Drosophila melanogaster: one gene and its partners. The protein of the gene in region 1 interacts with the protein of each later gene in a pairwise test. Each region holds a gene or a part of one and is shown in the gene's direction. Other genes may lie near its edges.

What was found.
Region 2: the proteins of CG14546 (region 1) and Adi1 interact in a two-hybrid assay, tested with the Drosophila melanogaster proteins (one large-scale study listed by BioGRID).
Region 3: the proteins of CG14546 (region 1) and CG31224 interact in a two-hybrid assay, tested with the Drosophila melanogaster proteins (one large-scale study listed by BioGRID).
Region 4: the proteins of CG14546 (region 1) and CG12768 interact in a two-hybrid assay, tested with the Drosophila melanogaster proteins (one large-scale study listed by BioGRID).

What each region holds. Positions count from the first base shown.
Region 1 is NT_033777.3:25,920,518-25,924,232, reverse strand, and holds CG14546 (uncharacterized protein), read left to right. Parts: upstream 1-1,598; 5' UTR 1,599-1,735; coding exon 1,736-2,234; intron 2,235-2,332; coding exon 2,333-3,000; 3' UTR 3,001-3,191; downstream 3,192-3,715.
Region 2 is NT_037436.4:10,661,618-10,664,995, forward strand, and holds Adi1 (acireductone dioxygenase 1), read left to right. Parts: upstream 1-1,758; 5' UTR 1,759-1,828; coding exon 1,829-1,951; intron 1,952-2,032; coding exon 2,033-2,110; intron 2,111-2,172; coding exon 2,173-2,300; intron 2,301-2,457; coding exon 2,458-2,551; intron 2,552-2,610; coding exon 2,611-2,748; 3' UTR 2,749-2,818; downstream 2,819-3,378. Other genes in the region: CG8003 (uncharacterized protein), read left to right, coding at 1-164, 233-1,006, 1,067-1,309. UniProt on the Drosophila melanogaster protein: Catalyzes 2 different reactions between oxygen and the acireductone 1,2-dihydroxy-3-keto-5-methylthiopentene (DHK-MTPene) depending upon the metal bound in the active site.
Region 3 is NT_033777.3:18,656,294-18,661,156, reverse strand, and holds the start of CG31224 (uncharacterized protein), read left to right. Parts: upstream 1-1,847; 5' UTR 1,848-2,397; exon of another isoform or gene 2,398-2,631; intron 2,632-3,971; 5' UTR 3,972-4,173; coding exon 4,174-4,863. Other genes in the region: CstF64 (cleavage stimulation factor 64 kD subunit), read right to left, coding at 130-1,252, 1,316-1,452.
Region 4 is NT_037436.4:22,908,504-22,913,505, forward strand, and holds the start of CG12768 (uncharacterized protein), read left to right. Parts: upstream 1-1,987; 5' UTR 1,988-2,069; intron 2,070-2,329; exon of another isoform or gene 2,330-2,648; intron 2,649-3,086; exon of another isoform or gene 3,087-3,252; intron 3,253-3,330; 5' UTR 3,331-3,422; coding exon 3,423-3,730; intron 3,731-4,760; coding exon 4,761-5,002.

The sequences.
Region 1 (3,715 bases):
AAGTTCGATAGTTATACCAGGCATGGGTAAAGCCAAATGTATGTTTCTAGTCGTAAGTACGCCAAGTCTACGCTACGAATTTCAAACCTATTTCTACTTCGCAATCTATAGTTAAGATAACATTTATACGGCATTTAATTAACTCTAAAATTAAAAATCTAAAGTGTCAAAATGGGTAATTGAATCTATTCAAGATTTTGATTTTTATTAAATTTTAACTAAAGAACCCATTATAATTTGATATTGGTACAAAGGTTTTATATTTCCAAAAAACTTACCTGAAACATTTAATTAGGCATTTTTGCAATCAACTTTAAACTGGAGAAATTAATTTAAGTATATGGTATCCTAATGAAATAAGTGTTTCGAAAACTATTAAGATTTTTTGTCCACCACTCAGAACCTAGGTTTCAATCCATTAGTAGCTCGGTTTAGTTATATTCTCTTAAACAGACTGATTTTACTTGTATGTGAATCGCGGCCATTTATCAGAAATTTAAAATGCATTTCTTTCCAGTCCTAACTAGCTATTAAGGCCATTTAAATTCCAACTCATCCGTGTATATAGCCACTCGTAATGGTGGATAAACATGCCCAAGCATCTTAAACCAAAACCCATTAAGCATAAGTAGACCATAAGAGTTAATAGAGCATAACGTTGTAGTCAATTTGGTTTAAGCTAATATTTATTTCATAATTATGTGTGAAAGCAGAATAAAGGCAACGACTTCAAGAATGTCCCGCATTTTCATTCATTTTCCTGGCACGCGCTGGAAAATCCACTTTTCAGTTCGCCCCACTGAACAATGGGCACAAGGACGTTTTTTCGCCACCACACCATTTATAATTGTTGCGATGATGTGGTATTGTCTGTGGCCTCCACTGACGTCACTGTTGGAAAGTCAACATCACAAATAAATTGAGCGACAAACCGGGCAGACAATGAAAACATATTGGTTGCTGTGGGCTCTGCAAACAGCCAAAGGTTATGTGCTTTACTCTTATTGTCTGCAAATGGCAATTTTAACATGCCAACTCTGGATATTCATACTGTTTATGTTTGTTTTGAGGCTGGTTAAATTCATGATACGCATCAACCCTTGCGAATTCACTTGCTCCACTTCCTGACTGACATTTAATCGGTTGGGCGAGCAGATGGAAACTATGGTTACTTAATGGGATGGTTGGCAAATAAATTCATTTCAGGTCCTTTCGCACAAATACTTTTCCCTGTCGGCCATCCGCCTCATTGGACTCGACGGAGGAGGAAAAATCCATTAAGAAGCTTACTTCGGATGGCGGACAGTTGCAAAATTTTTGCAATTATGATTTTGCAATTTAATTATTAACTTTTAATTGAATTGCTATTAGCGAGTTAGTAAACAATGCCGAAGTCTTGCGAAAAAAAATTTATGGAAAATTATTTACTTAATTGGTATTCATTCTTATTTACCATGGATTTTATAATAAAAAATGTTGATTTTGTGAAACAAGTACAAAACGAAGATAAATAAATATAGTTGAACAATAAATTATGCAAATAGGAAGATATAACAATTGTTTTATAGCAATCCCATTTTGGATTTATCTTTCAAAATAAATATCTGAAAAAAAACAAGCTATTTAATTTCAAAAGAGCTTACATCCACATGATGCGAAGGCAAAGATTTCATTACAATAACATGAGCCGCCAATTTTAAATCGATCTACATCCTAAAAATTCGTCAAAAAAGTCATGTTTCCAAATTACTGCTTTACGAAATCGGCCAGACAGTCGGGCTATGATGTTTTGAAAAGAAAGGTAGTACGGCATTCCTCTCCCTCAGTGACGTCAGCCGGCAGGAGAAGGACTCGCCATCGAACGGAGCGCCAACGGAATATATCCAAGTCGAGCTCTTTGCGGGACAAGGATTCGTCCTCCAAAAGCGTAGGATTCCGGGAAACACCCGTGATTTGTTCGAGTGAAAAAGACACTCGCAATTCTGGTGGCGACGATAGAAAAACGGATAAAATGACCTCCAGTCCCAGCAACGATCCCAATCGCGATCTGCAGGAATCCTTTGCCGACTTCTTTAGCATCATTCACGATAATGTCCTGGAATCGGTACAGGATGCTGTGCGGCGAATGGTGTCCAAGAGCTTTGAGCAATCCGTGGCCAAAATGGAACGACTGTCGAAGGACCTACAGAATCAGGAGGCGATGCTCAATAAAATCTATCACGATGTCACCAACAGTAAGTTCGGTTAAAAATTTTTATTAAATAAAAATCAATTATTATAATGTAAGAAGCGTAGTAAACTGTTATATCACAACTTCACCGATGTCCTTTAGAAATTGCCGCTCAGAGTGAAGCGAGCTTGAACCAATTCAAATTCGTTACCCAAATGCTCATCGACAACCAAACCGTGCACTACAGAGCGCTCAATCAAGCGAAGGCGAACAAACAGCGGCGCAAGGAAGAGCAAGATCTGGAAAGGGACCGGAAGTTGGAACGAGAACGGAAGCGGATGTGCACTTGCAAGGAGGTGCGAAATGCACGGGTTCGTAAAAGTAGAAGTTCCAGTGTGGACCTCTCGAAAAGAAGCACTGGTGGCGAGGCAAAGGAACGAGTGCCGAAAGCCCCGCAACATCAATTGTGCCAACAGCAGGTGCCATTGGTTTATCATTTGTACAATTCCAGTACGGATCAGGAGTCTACCGCCAGGAGCAATCAGGTGTCCCGGTCGTCTTCAAGGCATGCAACTGCTCCTGATCTCCCAAGACAATCCACTTCTTACAGCATGCCAGACCTTTCCGGCCGTACTTCCCCCAATCCTACGCGGTTTAATCAGAACCAACATGCTTCAAAAGTCTCTAGAAGCAGCTCATCTAGATCTTCTAACCACAGACAGGATAATATTGTCTGCCTTCCGGCCATGACCTATCCACCTTACGTCCGCAATTGTCCAATTCCCCGGCAAAAGTTAATTCGCAAAACTGGTCAGAATAAAGGCAAATAGAAGTAGTCTTTTATGCAGCCCCTGAAACAAAAATCTGTTAAGACTCCCAATTGCATTGCACGTATATAGGAATCAAATGAATTGGGAACCCTTTTCGTGTTTTGCAATTGGTAGTCTTAGCAGCCAAAGCAAATTGAGACATCAATTTTATAGTAAAAATTTTAATAAAAACAAACAGTTTTAATTAATCTAAAATGAATGCAAGCTACTGCTGTATTTATTTACACTTTTTTAAGCCTCTTAAGCTTTTATTTACCTTTTAGGAACAAACAAAATCTCTATCGAATTATTAGGAAATATGTTGATGTATGAACTAATTCATACTTATCAATAGGAACAAAACTGTTAAGCAATGGTAACAGCAACTGCATTGCTCAACAAATCGCTTAATCGGAACTTTCACTGAGTTTTGGTACCTCAACTTTCTTGAGCTCCACGCTCTGATAGTAATTGTTTTTTCGCAAGTAGCGTTGAACAACTGGTGCCAGAAGATTCTCATCAACGTTCTTGATATCCTGACGTCCGTAGACGAAAGTAGCCAAGTTTGAAGTTATAATTGTAAGTAGGGCTCCCAACATAGCGTATAACAGGAATGACATGTGATATATAGATGATCCACTGTGAGGTTCGCTATTAAAAAAGATGTTTAATAAATATAAAAGTTTTTACCGGAAACACGAAATGTACTTACTATTCTAAAGTGGAGTTTAAGTAA
Region 2 (3,378 bases), on another chromosome or scaffold:
AGCGCCAGTTGCTGGATCATCTGGCCAAGAATGACACCAGTGGATTCAAGCAGCTGCTGAGCGGAGTGAGGAATGTTAATTTCGTGGACGACACCGGGATGTCGTGTTTGGCCCACGCCAGCTTCAAGGGAAACCGCGAGGCGGTGCAGCTGCTCCTGGACATGGTGGGTACATCTGCCAGGCAACCACCGCTTGGGCTCTAAACATGAAATAACCGCCTTTTCTTCCACAGGGTGCCGACATAAACCTCAATCAGCATGGAGCTGATTATACGCCACTGCATTTCGCCGCTCTATCGGGCAATACACATGTGTGCCGGCTTCTTTTGGATGCTGGCATCAAGCCGGGTAGCATCAATAGTGTCAACAGGACCGCCGCCCAAATGGCCGCCTTTGTGGGCAACCACGCCTGCGTGGAGACCATCAACAACTATGTGACCCAGTCGAGTTTGGAGTACTACACCCAAGTGCATGGCCAGCAGACGGAGCCGCATATACCACCCAGCTTACTCAAATCGTTCCACGCCTTTGTCACCGAAATCAACCTGCATCCCGTGAGGATTGCCCTGAATGTGCAGTCCTTGGGATTGCTTAGGATCCTGTCCAGTCTGCGCAAGACGCTGGCTTTGATGTGCGAAAAGGAGATGCAGAAGTCGCATGACCTCAACGAGCTGCTGGCCTTCAAGTTCCATTATCAGGGCTGGATTTTGGCCGAACTAATACGCTGCGAGGAGCAATTCAAGGCGCAGCACAAGGAGAAAAGTGGCGAGGAGGCGGGCGATGCGAACAAGAACGATTTCATCGAGATGTTTGTGAAGCGGGTGCTCAAGGAGAACAAGCTGGGCCAGCTGGACTATGTGGAATACACGTTGCGCGAATGTGCCAGGGAGTTTCCCGTGAGAGAGTGCACCATCTTCCGGCAAATCGCAACGCAATTTGGCGCCAAGGATGCCCCACCAGCACTGACTGTCCTGCGAAATGCCATCAATGGGATGAGGTGGATTACGGTGGGTATCATGATCTCATAATCAAATGATTCTTTTCTAATCTGGAAAACTAATTTTCAGGACGAGGGCAACTACTGCAGCACCTGCGGCGCCGAGAAACCGGACAAGAAGTGCTCCAAGTGCAAGGCGGTGCAGTATTGCGATCGCGAATGCCAGCGGCTGCATTGGTTCATGCACAAGAAGAACTGTGCCCGCCTCCTGGCCCAATCCCAAGCCCAAGCCCAAGCCCAGCCGCAATCGCAAGCGAAGGGAGCCATTGACACGGCCGAGCTGCGCGAGGAACTGTCCAAACTGACTGCGTAATCCTGTGCTCCTTTGTAACGCCAATAAATGTAACATAAAACCAGAAACCTAGCATTTTCGCGTACTAAAAGATTGTTAGTACCAAACTGTCAGATGTCTACACAAATTAAACTAGATAATAGTAACGAAAGGCAAAATTGCACGCTACAAATTCAATTAAAGTCAAAACATACAACAAACTGCCCAAAAATCGTATATCTATCGTAAAATAATAAAGAGTAATAATGGAACAAAAAAAAAATAGAAAAATAACTCCTTTTGAAGGTTATTAAAATTATGGTTATTTTACGTTTTAAATCGAACATTTCAAAAATGAAGTTTTTAAAATAGCAGTATTTCGAACACAAAACTAACAGCATTCATTTTCGAATGTTAAGTTAACAGCACTAGCGGCATTCGCCTGAGTGTCTGTTATCGATTTCGAAAATTCGAAAACGAACAGCTGATGCCAGTTGAATTTTTCTTGTTTAATCTATTTGTTGCTCGTTGCTCGTGAAAACCCGTTTAAAACAGTCCAAAATGGTGCAGGTTTGGTATATGGATACGGAGGAAACCGATCAGCGCCTGGAGCACCACCGCAATCCGCCTGCCTACTTGGAACTGGATGATCTGTACCAGAAGACCGGCGTGGAATACTTTAAGGCAAGTGAAAAGCGAAATTGCGACTTTAAAAACCTTAAGTGACCTTGGGGGCGAGCTTATCTTGATCATTCACATTTGCAGATCAATGCGGACGAGTACCAGAGCGATAATACCCTCACGGAACTGAGGGCAAAACGTGGCTACACCTACGATGATGAGGCAAGATCGATGTTTTCTTGAAAAACATCTACCGAACTTTGGTAAACTTCGAATTATTACAGATCACATGCTCGGAAAAGTGCCTTCCAGACTATGCCAACAAGTTGAAAGCCTTTTTCACCGAACACCTGCACACGGATGAGGAAATTCGCCTGATATTGGAGGGATCCGGTTACTTTGATGTTCGCGAGTAAGTTTTGTTTATTTACACCGCATTTTATAGTATCCCAGCCACATTTTCCCAATTAAATAGTTCAAGCATTCATATTCTTACTGATATTGTTTTTGCTCACACTAATAACATTTTTGGAATTGTTTTAAAACGGAAAACTATTTATTCTTTATAGCAATGAGGACAACTGGTTGCGCATTAAGGTTGTCAAGGGAGATCTGATCATTATACCAGCTGGCATATATCACCGCTTTACTTTGGATACCAATGTAAGTTATTTTGACAATCTTATATACAAACTTAAACTATTTGTATTGTTTTTTCTTAGAACTTTATCAGAACTCGTCGCTATTTTGTGGGCGAACCTGTCTGGGCTCCACACAATCGTCCTGCTGATGAAATGGACTGTCGCAAATCGTACATCAAGCATCAGTCGGAAAACTTTGTGCAATTCAATAAGGTTTAAAAACCTTAAATCTTATCTTTTACCATCAAGTTTGATATTTTGAAATATAAAATCGCTGTGTATAATCAATAGTTTCAATAGTTTTTTGTTTAACTTACAATTTTCGCTGATTAACGTAGTTTTGATATAGAATTCGAAGTCTATTTTCTATATCAATAAACCCCGCCAAAAACTTGATTTCGAATTTTATCTCTTAGTTGGTTGCTGCATATGCTAAACGTACTTTCGAACTCGAATCTCAGAGAGTACAATTCGCGGTATGACCGTACCAGCGCCGAAGAGAAAAAACAGCGCAAGTATATAATCCCAAGCGCCAGCGAAAGTATCGAGCCAACATCGATGCGCGTGCCATCGCTAGGAAGGAAAACAAAACAAACACTTTTTTACTTTTTCATCTCTCGGATCGTTCGGACGTGCTACGCGGTCTCGTCTGTGTGTGTGAGGTAGTGTGCGTGAGCGGAGCGGCGAAAAAGCACAATTGAAATTAAATCGAGTCGTTATCTGTGGATTCGGCGGATACAATACAATATCGTATCGTTATCTATTTACAAACAAATCGACGTGGATTAATAAAATGCCGCACACGAATGCTTAAAGCGGCCTATCTGTGTGTGTGTACGTGTGTGTCTA
Region 3 (4,863 bases), 7.3 Mb from region 1:
ACCATTCTATTCCGCTTAATAAATCTCCTTGTGTTGAAATGTTCTTTTTATTAATTGATTCAATGTTGAAAGTACTATAGTATGCATGAGCGAAATGGTGATTTTTCATTTGTTTCAGCCAGAGTAGTTTCAGCGCTGGGTACTCTTCGCAATCTGCTCTTTGAGCATGACAATACTGACCCGTTGCTCGGAGGGCAGCTGCGCAATCTGTTCGTCGGACAGCTGCAGTACCTGCATGATGAGGGCAGCCTTCTCCTGGTCGGAGGCATCCGAGGGCAGGACTCCATGGGCGCCTAGTCTGCTCTGCAACTGCTGAGCGGCCGCCTGCTGTTGTTGTGTCGGTGGCGGCGCTTGGGGGATTCCTTGTGGCGGCGCCTGCTGCTGAGGACCAGGTCCTGCCCTTAACCTGGGATCCATGGGACGCTGGCGCGGATCGCTGGGATAGGGGGCCGGTGGCGCCTGCGGAACGCCCTGCTGCTGCTGTGGGGGCATCTGGGCACGAGCTCGGGGATCCATCAGCGGCGGTGGCACTGGATTGGGTAGAGAAGCTCGCAAATCCTGGTCCATGCCACGGCCCATCATCCTGGGATCCATCGGCATGGGTCCACCCGGCACCATGCGCAAATCGATATCGTTCGGATGGACATTGGCCGGGAAGCCAGGTCCGGGAACGGGCATTGGTGGCTGGGGAGCCTGTTGCTGTTGCTGCGGGATCTGCACCTGCTGTTGCGGAACCTGTTGCTGACCCATCATGGTGTGATTCCCCGGCCCCTGGTGCGGATTGCCGCCCAAGACGGGGGGCATTTGGTTGGCCTTGAAGAGCATCCCGAGCGCCTGCTGAGGGTCCACGATCCTCATAACCACCATGGCCTGGAGCAAAGCGTACGCCAACTGAGGATTGAGCATTAGCATCTGGCGTGCCTCCGATGGATTGCTCACGATGCAGAGCTTCATCTGCTTCATCAGCTCGTACATTTGCTCCGGCGGCAAGGAAGCCACCGTTTTGGTGATGAGCTCGGGAGCATCCTCTGGTTCGCAGGGCTCGCCATAGGGATTCTCCACCTGGGGTCCCTGAAGCAGCTGCTGCATCTCCATGCGCGACTTCTCCGTACACGCGTTGTCCACTCGCAGTGTTCTGCCGCCGATCTCATAGCCATTCAGATTCCGCATGGCACTTAAAGCCGTCTCCTGGTCCTTGTACTCGCAGAAGCCAAAGCCCTTGGGTTTGCCACTTTCCCGATCAAAGACCAGTCTGGGGGATTGAGAATAGGAGGTTTACAGTGAGATATTGCATGGCTCTAAGTAGGGAACTCACTTCAGTGACAAGACCGGGCCCACTTCGCTGAAAATCTCCTTTAGCTTCTCCTCGGTGGCCTCGTAGGGTATGTTCCCCACAAAAACCGACCGCATGGACTTGTCCATTATACTTTGTTCCTGCGCCTTATCTGCCATATCTGTTGTTTGTTATTATTTACTGCACAAACTCGACAAAATCTTAGCAAACGTTGACAAACTTGTCTAAAAAATTCCCTGCGTTCCGGCTTGCTGTTTCTTCTTCTTCCTTGAATAATTTCCCTTACCAGGGATTCATACTTTTCATATACTTTTTGGGAAATAAAGCGGTATGGGACGCAAAATATTAAACAAAGTGTAATAACAGATACGCAAGCCATTTTATTTTATTTTCTTATCTAAACACCTGAGAAAATAATTAACAGTATTGGTCTAATTTTTGGGATTCTCATCCATTGCCATCACTTAGAAACGTAGTATTTAGCAAGAAAATAGCTAAATGCCCTGCTTAGCCAAAAATACCACCACTGCTAGTGCTGGTAAGTTCCCGCAGCCCGCATACGTTTTGCAGCACTCCAACGCCTGGTGTTGTAATTTTTCTTGTCGCAAGGTGAAAACGATTTAAACGGTTTTTGATAGTGAAAAGTGCACCAATATGCACGAATTGTACACCAAATTGTAGATGAAAGTGGCGTTTATTCGTTTTCTATGCGGCAATAGACAAAAAACGGCTCGAAGTGCATGAAAAACGTGCTTGAAAATATTACTTTGTGTGTAGCCACACGCACTCCAACACACACAAACGCACACACACACAGACAGAGGGAGATAAACGCAGCGATGGCCTCGCAGTCGCACTCGCACATATAAAAAGCTCGCTTGTATATTGGAAGAAGGAGCGCACAAAGCGGAAGACGAGAGGAAAGATTTCTGTGTCATTGAACGAGAAAAAGAAGAGAAGAGAGCCTCCTGGCTCCTGGTCCTCCTGTTCCAGTTCCTCCTCCAACTCCACTTCCTCTTCATCTTTAAGCGGCCGCAGGTGCACCACGCTCTTTACATTTCCAAGGATACGCTCTCAGCCGCTCTCTCTCTCGATCGATACTGGTAATTAGCTGGCGTCCTCTCTTTGTGGAAGTGTCATTCCATTCCATGGACGAAACGAAAACGAAATCGATGGCAATGGCTGGTGAACAAAAGCGGAAATATGTGCATTTTTAAATTGTGTGTGTCTGTAATTATGTGAATAATAATCAGCAGAAAAAAATCGTACAATAAGTGGCAAGATCAGCGACATTAACGCACACAAACAAGCGCGCGTGTGTGCACACTGGAAAAAAGGTTGGCTGGCGATTGTTGTCGCTGCAAACTGGGATACTGGAATAAATCATAATGCATTTACGCACCGTGTGCTCCTCAATTTTTCGACAGTCTGTGTGTGCATGTGTGCATGTGGGTGTTGTGTGTGCGTGGTGTGTGTAACCTTTGGCAAAGGAAAAATCAATAGCAACAGACGTAGACATTTGTTTGCCGCTGTTTATGTGCAGCCCTCGCATTGTCCTTCGCCCCCAAAACAAAGAGCCACCCTTGCAGAGATGGCCAAATCCCAAAAAAGAAACAAGTGAATGTTGGTCTGCAGACAGACTATAAATAAAAGCAAAAGTTATCGCAAAAGGCAAGCAGCAAAAGGCAAACCAGATGAACGGCCAATAACTCGTCAGCAGGCTGGGTCTGGGTCGTTGCCTCTTTTTTTCCGATTCTGATTCCGTTTCTTCCTGCTGCTCTGGCTCCCCGAGAGAAAAAAGCTGCTCCAGAAGTTGTCTCACCCATCTGCAACCGGCATTCCAATCCGCCATTTCCATTGCCCAAACAGGACCTTCTAATCAGAATTCTTATGTTGCTCTACTCAGAGAATGTGGTTAATATGAACGGATTCGAATATAAGACATGGCTTTACTAAATCAATAGAATCGATTTAAAATGGCACCTCTGATTTCGAAAATGTGGAATCGACTTTAAGGGTGACTGTGTTGAGGTTGGGTCTGCTTTGTGCTAGAAAAGTTTATTGACTCTTGTTCTCTCATTTTGATCCTTTGCGATCCTCAATTATTAAATATGCCTTGTATGTTTAATTGTACTTATTTGGTAGCTTTCTAAAGAACAAAATAATTACTGGTAAACCAAAATCATTATAATCATCATATTAGAAATGCACTCGCTGTTGAAACAATTTTATTTTTATCATGCTTTTATTTTGTTGGCTTTTAAAGAAATTACTCACTACAAGAAACTTCCAACGAACGTTTTTTTACTGATTATTTGTGCTACCCCCGATAGTAAAACATTTGTGGTTTTAATTGAGTTACTTTCAACAGTTAGGATGCACGATGTGCGAAGGGTTCTTCCAGTCCAAATCACCTTTCTATAAGAAAAGTAGGGTTTATTATTAAATTATCAGCTTTATAAATTTGGATTGGTTTTGTAAAAAGACGCGTTTGTTAAGATTAAACATTACGCATTCCGTGGATACTTGATCACTTGGATCGCCGGACGGCGCATTCTTCGCATATCGGGTATCGTTTCACCGAAGACGTTGATATCGGAGCGCAGAATGTGCCCAGGGACTGGTACAGTAATTTCTGGCACCAACATTCTGACATTCTTTATATTCTCCAATGCAGCTCACCCGCGTCGAATCAGAGGATTGAGCAAGATGGACGCCAAGCCAAGGAGATACGCTGTTTTATGACTCTGAAGGGCAACCACGCCAGTCATCCGTCGCACTAGAAAGCTAGAAGCCAGGCTCCCAGAGAGCAGGAGCAGCCAGTGAGCAGGAGTAGGAGTAGGCAGGAGCCACACATAGAACAATCTAAAATCGTCATCATGGTCGACAACAGTGTCCAATGCCCCGTGTGCACATTGTACCTGCATGCGGGCATGAATCTCTCCGATCACTTGGAGACCCATCCCAAGGAGCAGGTGATCAAGGCGCTGGTGCAGATGACGATCGTTGGGAACGGTGGCAACAGCATGGGCAGCGTTCTCGCTGCCGCCATGTTGACAGGAGGATCTGGAGGAGGTGGATCCAGCGGCGGCGAAGCCAGTGCTGATGAGAAACCGGCCGTCTTATCACCCCCTTCTGGCGGCGATGTCAAACCAGTCGTGGTCAATACCATATCAGCAGCAACAGCGCCTGTGCTGCCACCAGCACCACCACCGCTATCCTCCTCCCTCGTGGCGGCCTGCTCCAACGGAGCCGCCTCTTCGACAACCAGCTCCACACCCACCTCCACCTCAGCAAGCAACAGCAGCAGCCTCAGCAGCAGCAAACCGAGCAATCCACCGATGAAAGCACTGAAATGCTCACCGCCCACAACTGAGGCGCGAGCCAGCACATCCGCACATCCCACCACGAGCAGCGTGTCCACTTTGTACCAGCCAGCGCAGGTCACTCCGGATTATCGCTTCAACCAGCAGCAGCAGCAGCCGCAGACGTCGGGCTTTGGGCGTGGTGTCACCACCTCAACAGCCGCGCTGGTGATTCCGCAGGTGCCTCAGCAGCACTTCCTCGCC
Region 4 (5,002 bases), on another chromosome or scaffold:
GTACGTTAGGGTTTTAGAGTGGGCGTGGCAAAAATCGATACTCGAAAATATACTTTATATGGTTGGAAACGCTTCATTCTGCCTATTACATACTTTTCAACGAATCTAGTATACCCTTTTACTCTACGAGTAACGAGTATAATTATCTTAATATATCTTAATATCTCCTTTATAAAGGTGTTAATTTTGTGCACAAAAAGTGGGTAAATTTCCCATAGTGCAATGGAAACACCATTAAAGCGTCGTGTAAAAAAGTTGGTCAATTTTTTCTAATGGTTTGTACTGTTCCGGGATGGCACAACAACTTGGAATCACATTTATAAGTTTTTTTTGTGAATTGAAAAACTAAACTTAAATCGCAAATACATATATCAATAGAACAATATGAATGTTCTTACTACGTAAAATAATAGGCAATTTTCCCTGGCCCCTAACGGAACCGAAGTCGCCCTACTCAGCTGATTTTATCCCAATCTGACACGCCCGTGACATGCTGTTGCCTATCCGAAAATATTTGTGTACCACGGATTACATTGCAGTAATGGATTTAATTTAAGCTGTGGACCGCGTTCGACTCAACTGCAGATTCATCAGCGCCGAGAACGCATACTGATAAGTCGAATCAGAATCAGACAAAGCGGTATGCTGCGTTCTGCTGAAAAAGGAAAGGGAGAGCGAAAACACGGATGGCTGTGTTGGTGCGATTGATAAATACGAGTTCATTCTTAAAGCTTATTTTTTAGATGACCAAGCGGGAGACAACAACGAGTAAACAAGAGCAACAGCAACAGCGGGCAATAAAGTTGATTGCAGCAGTGGCAAATTGAATATTTGCCAGCGCGCGTGTGTGTGTGCGCAGCCTTTTTGTTTGTGCTTGTTCGCATTGTTAAATATCCGCACCAGCAGTGCAGCCAAATGGGATGATAGATGCCGAATGCCGAATGGCGCGCGAGCAGAGCGAGTGGCTACCATTGTTAATCCGCAGTTCGTCCTCTGTGCCCCTTGCCTCCTCCCTCGCTCATTCCTGTGCCACAGCTCAGCTTGCTACCAAAACTCGACCTCGACTTCATCCCTTGCTCTCTCGGAACTCTCATGCTCAAGCTGTTGCTTCAGCTACAGCTCAGCGTACAATTGTTGCTTTGCGGAGACTGCGCTCATTGCCGGGTGCTGCCAATCCTGGGTGCAATCCGTTCATTATTTATCCGGCTGGTGGTAAGCAAATAGCGCTCACAAGCCACTTAGTGCTATCACTCTTGGATTAATCACTGGGCACGGCTCGGCGATAACGTGTCACTGCCACAAACGGAACCGCAACGGCGATAAATATTTTTCACAGCGAAAATAACACTGCCTAACAAAGTTTGAAACACTGTGACTAGAACATTTCCAAACTTCAGCTATTTCTTCAGCTATCAGTTATATATTTTAGAATAGATAAACAGAATATATATAATGCCATTTATGTAATGATTTCGATGAATAGATAGATGGCTAATATTTTACCGGTACTCCACCAAGGTGTTTTAAAGAAGACGGCTTTAAAGGTTTCCTATAATATACATTTTTTTATTAAATTTCATTTTATTTATTTTAAAATGCGTCCCGTTTGAGTGGAGGATATGTCTAATATAGTCCTAAATAGATACCAAGTAAATATCTTTTCGTATCACTCCACACACACACAAAAAGTTGAGTTTATAATTACATTATTCACGCAGCCCTCTAGGCTCCCTCACTATGCCAATTTCTTTTGTTGTGTAGTGTAATAGCATAGGATTGGCAGCCTCCGATTGTTTACACCAGCGTAGGCGGCACTGCAACAACAACAATAGCATCCTCTGCTCTCATTCTCTCTCCCGTGCTTTGCGCTCTGGAGCGGAGCAGAAAAGAAAAGCGCCATTCGCTCACTTTCTCTCCGGCTCTCTTTGTGCTGCTGCGCCAATTTGCAAGAAAACTAAGTTGGTTTGCTGTGCAGTTGTGACAATCGTCGAGGAGAGCAGCGGCGCACTCTCTAAAAGGAAGCTGCCAAGCCAACGAACGGCCAAGCGAGAGGTGACAAGTGAAAAGTGGCAAGTGGATGTACCAAATAGTGACAGGTTCACTAGTAGTAATCGCAAGTTAGCTGCCCGTTTGGCTGCAGATTTTCGTCAAAGTTCGCTATTCGTGTTGTTTTTTGATGTTTTCGTCTCTCTCGGCTGTCCGCATAGGCAATGTGTGTATACATATACGCGATTTCACACTGACAACAGGGCCGGGCGCGTGTATGAGTGTGGTTATTTTGCCGTGTTGCCGAACATCTGTATCTGTATCTGAATCTGTGGCAGCCAATAGTTGTGGCAAGGCCCTCGAGCAACTCGCAACACAACACATAACAACAGCATCCCCAATAAGTGGCAGCAACTACGCCGCATGGCAAAGCACCAACGGCCGCATTTGTTGTTAATTGAAATAAATTGAAATAAATTCCCCGACTTTGCTGCTCATATTGTTAATAAAGAGAAGCCGGAGCGACGCAACAGCGAATCAGCAGCAGTAAACAAAACTGTGAGCAAAAGGTTTTAGTTCCATTCCAGGCGTCAGACGACTTTGAGTACAAGCGACAAACAACCAGAACATCTAAGGAATTCCGAGCGAACAATGTGAATAATGTTGGTATCACAAGCAATTGGTGGCAATAACCAAAAAGAGCACATGCGTTTATTTATAGACCCCAGTGTGTTCCCATTAGTGAGTGTGTGGCGTGCTGTGCACTGCAAATGAGTTCAAGCTGCAGCCAAAGAGAAGGAGGCGTCCTACCAATACCAATCCTTGTGTAGTCTTGTTCCCTCCACAATCAGATCGGTCGCAGACCAACAGTAGCAGCTGAAATTCCTCGATCGGCACACGAAATCGTATGTAAATACTTTCCTGCCGAGTCAGCCTCTCAGAATGCCAATGTTTACAGTATTCGATTATTGTTTAACTAACAGCCTCTTATGGGAAAGTGGAATACATACATTAATTGATGGGGGAGGTGGGGGTTGGGGTTTGTAGGGTCTGCTATAAGCAGATTTCCCGTATTTGATTTGTCCCCTCTGTTGTCTCAGTTTCAGTGGGACCCATACTCCCGAAAATCAATTGTATTTAACTGTGCGTATGCGATTTCGAAAACAAAAACACCCCTCCTGCTGGGGTCATTGCACCCAAGGTGCGTGGGTGCGTGTGTCAACACTTTTGAACCCCTAAGCACCCACCCGAGAAATACGCCGAAAAGTATGCAACGAACATGGCGACCATCAGCACAAGCAACTTTAACGATTTTCTCACCTCATTTCTATACTTACTTTGCAGCGCAGCATCCGGCGACACAGGACATGCGCAGTGGCCTTTTTGGTAGTTGCATTTCGGCCAACAGCGACTGAAAGAGCAGAGAGCGGAGGAGCATGGCCTTTTCCCGCCACAACATCGAGAAGCGCCGACTCATCGAGCTCGTGCGACTCAACCCAATCCTCTGGGACTGCCGCCTGCCACACTACAAGCGTTCGGACAAGCGAAAAGCCATCAAATGGAACGAGTTGGGGCGGCTCTTCAACGTTAATGGCGAGCGGGTGCAGCGCACGTTTACTTCGCTCCGCGAGATCTTCCGCCGCGAGCTGAACCACGAAAAGATGCTGGGCACCACGCGCTTCAAGTCCAAGTGGGAATACTACGATGCCATGGCCTTCCTCAAGGAGGTCATTCGGGAACGCAAGTAAGACGACGTTTGACCTGCCCTAAAATACTACCTTATGATATATGTAGATCCCGTTTAAGGGATTTTGGACATTCCAGTTATTTGTTCTAGTGTCTTTGGAAAAAGGGTTTACTAAATTCGTTGAAAAGTGTGTAACAGGTAAAAGGAAGCGTTTTCGACCATATAAGGTACATATATATATTTCTGAACAGGATCAATAGCCAAGCCTCGAGCTCAGGAACTATAAAATACCACACTTTTGAAAAATGTTTTCATTTTTCTTGGTTTCATTTTTTTTATCTTACCGATATACCAAAAACACTTTGGCTACGCCTCTTCTGAAAAATTCAAACCGCTCACAACAATTTTAATTCCCCAATATCTATCGACAAGCAAGGAAAATTATAGAATTTCGCGTTCGCACTAGCTGAGTAACGGGTATGTGATAGTCGGGTTTTCGACTACAGCAATTGTGTTCCGATTATAATCACTGAAAAAGTTGTTTGAGCAAATTCGGAGAGAGGTGACCGCGAAATAATCACCGTCACTTAAAAGCCTAAACATATTTACATATTCAACATTTAGATTTTGATTTTACGCGATTTTTAAGTTTTTATTGTTATAAGAAGAATGATTAGTGTAAGGGATTGGGAATATAAATGTCGAGATAGTTCTCAAAATAATACGCAAGTCACCTTCCTCGGTTACAATAAATTTACATTGATTTTACTGAAATCAAATCAAATAAAAACTAGTTAAAGAAAATAACTGTTGTCTACCGAATAAGAACAATGACGCAGATAAGAATATAAATGTCTAGATAATTCACAAGGATTGTGTGCAAGTCAAATCTAAATTTAAGCATTTAGGAAGGGTATACATAGAAATTCTATTAAAACTTTGAATTTGTTTCATGTGGTCGGTCCAGAACTGACCAACAGGCAAGAATGAAATGCATGCCTGCGGATCTGCATCATAGCACCTATCTGCTAACCTTGAGGCAAGCACCCGCTTTCCAAAAAAGCTAATTACAACTTTTGCTTTTTAGATCTCGCGAGCGCATCAAGCACGGCTCTTTGGATTCAGCACCAGTAGCCACAGGCAGCAGCAACAATAACAACAACTGCGTAAGCCGCAATAGCAGCAACAACAACAGCAGCAGTGCGGCCCTAGACGAATATCAGTACTTTGCTCCTAGCGACCCCAACAACCCGAACAATCAGCCCCAGCTGCAGCCCGAACCAAAGAGTAGTCTGCCAGTGACTATTCCCAGTCTAAGTCTCACCCTCA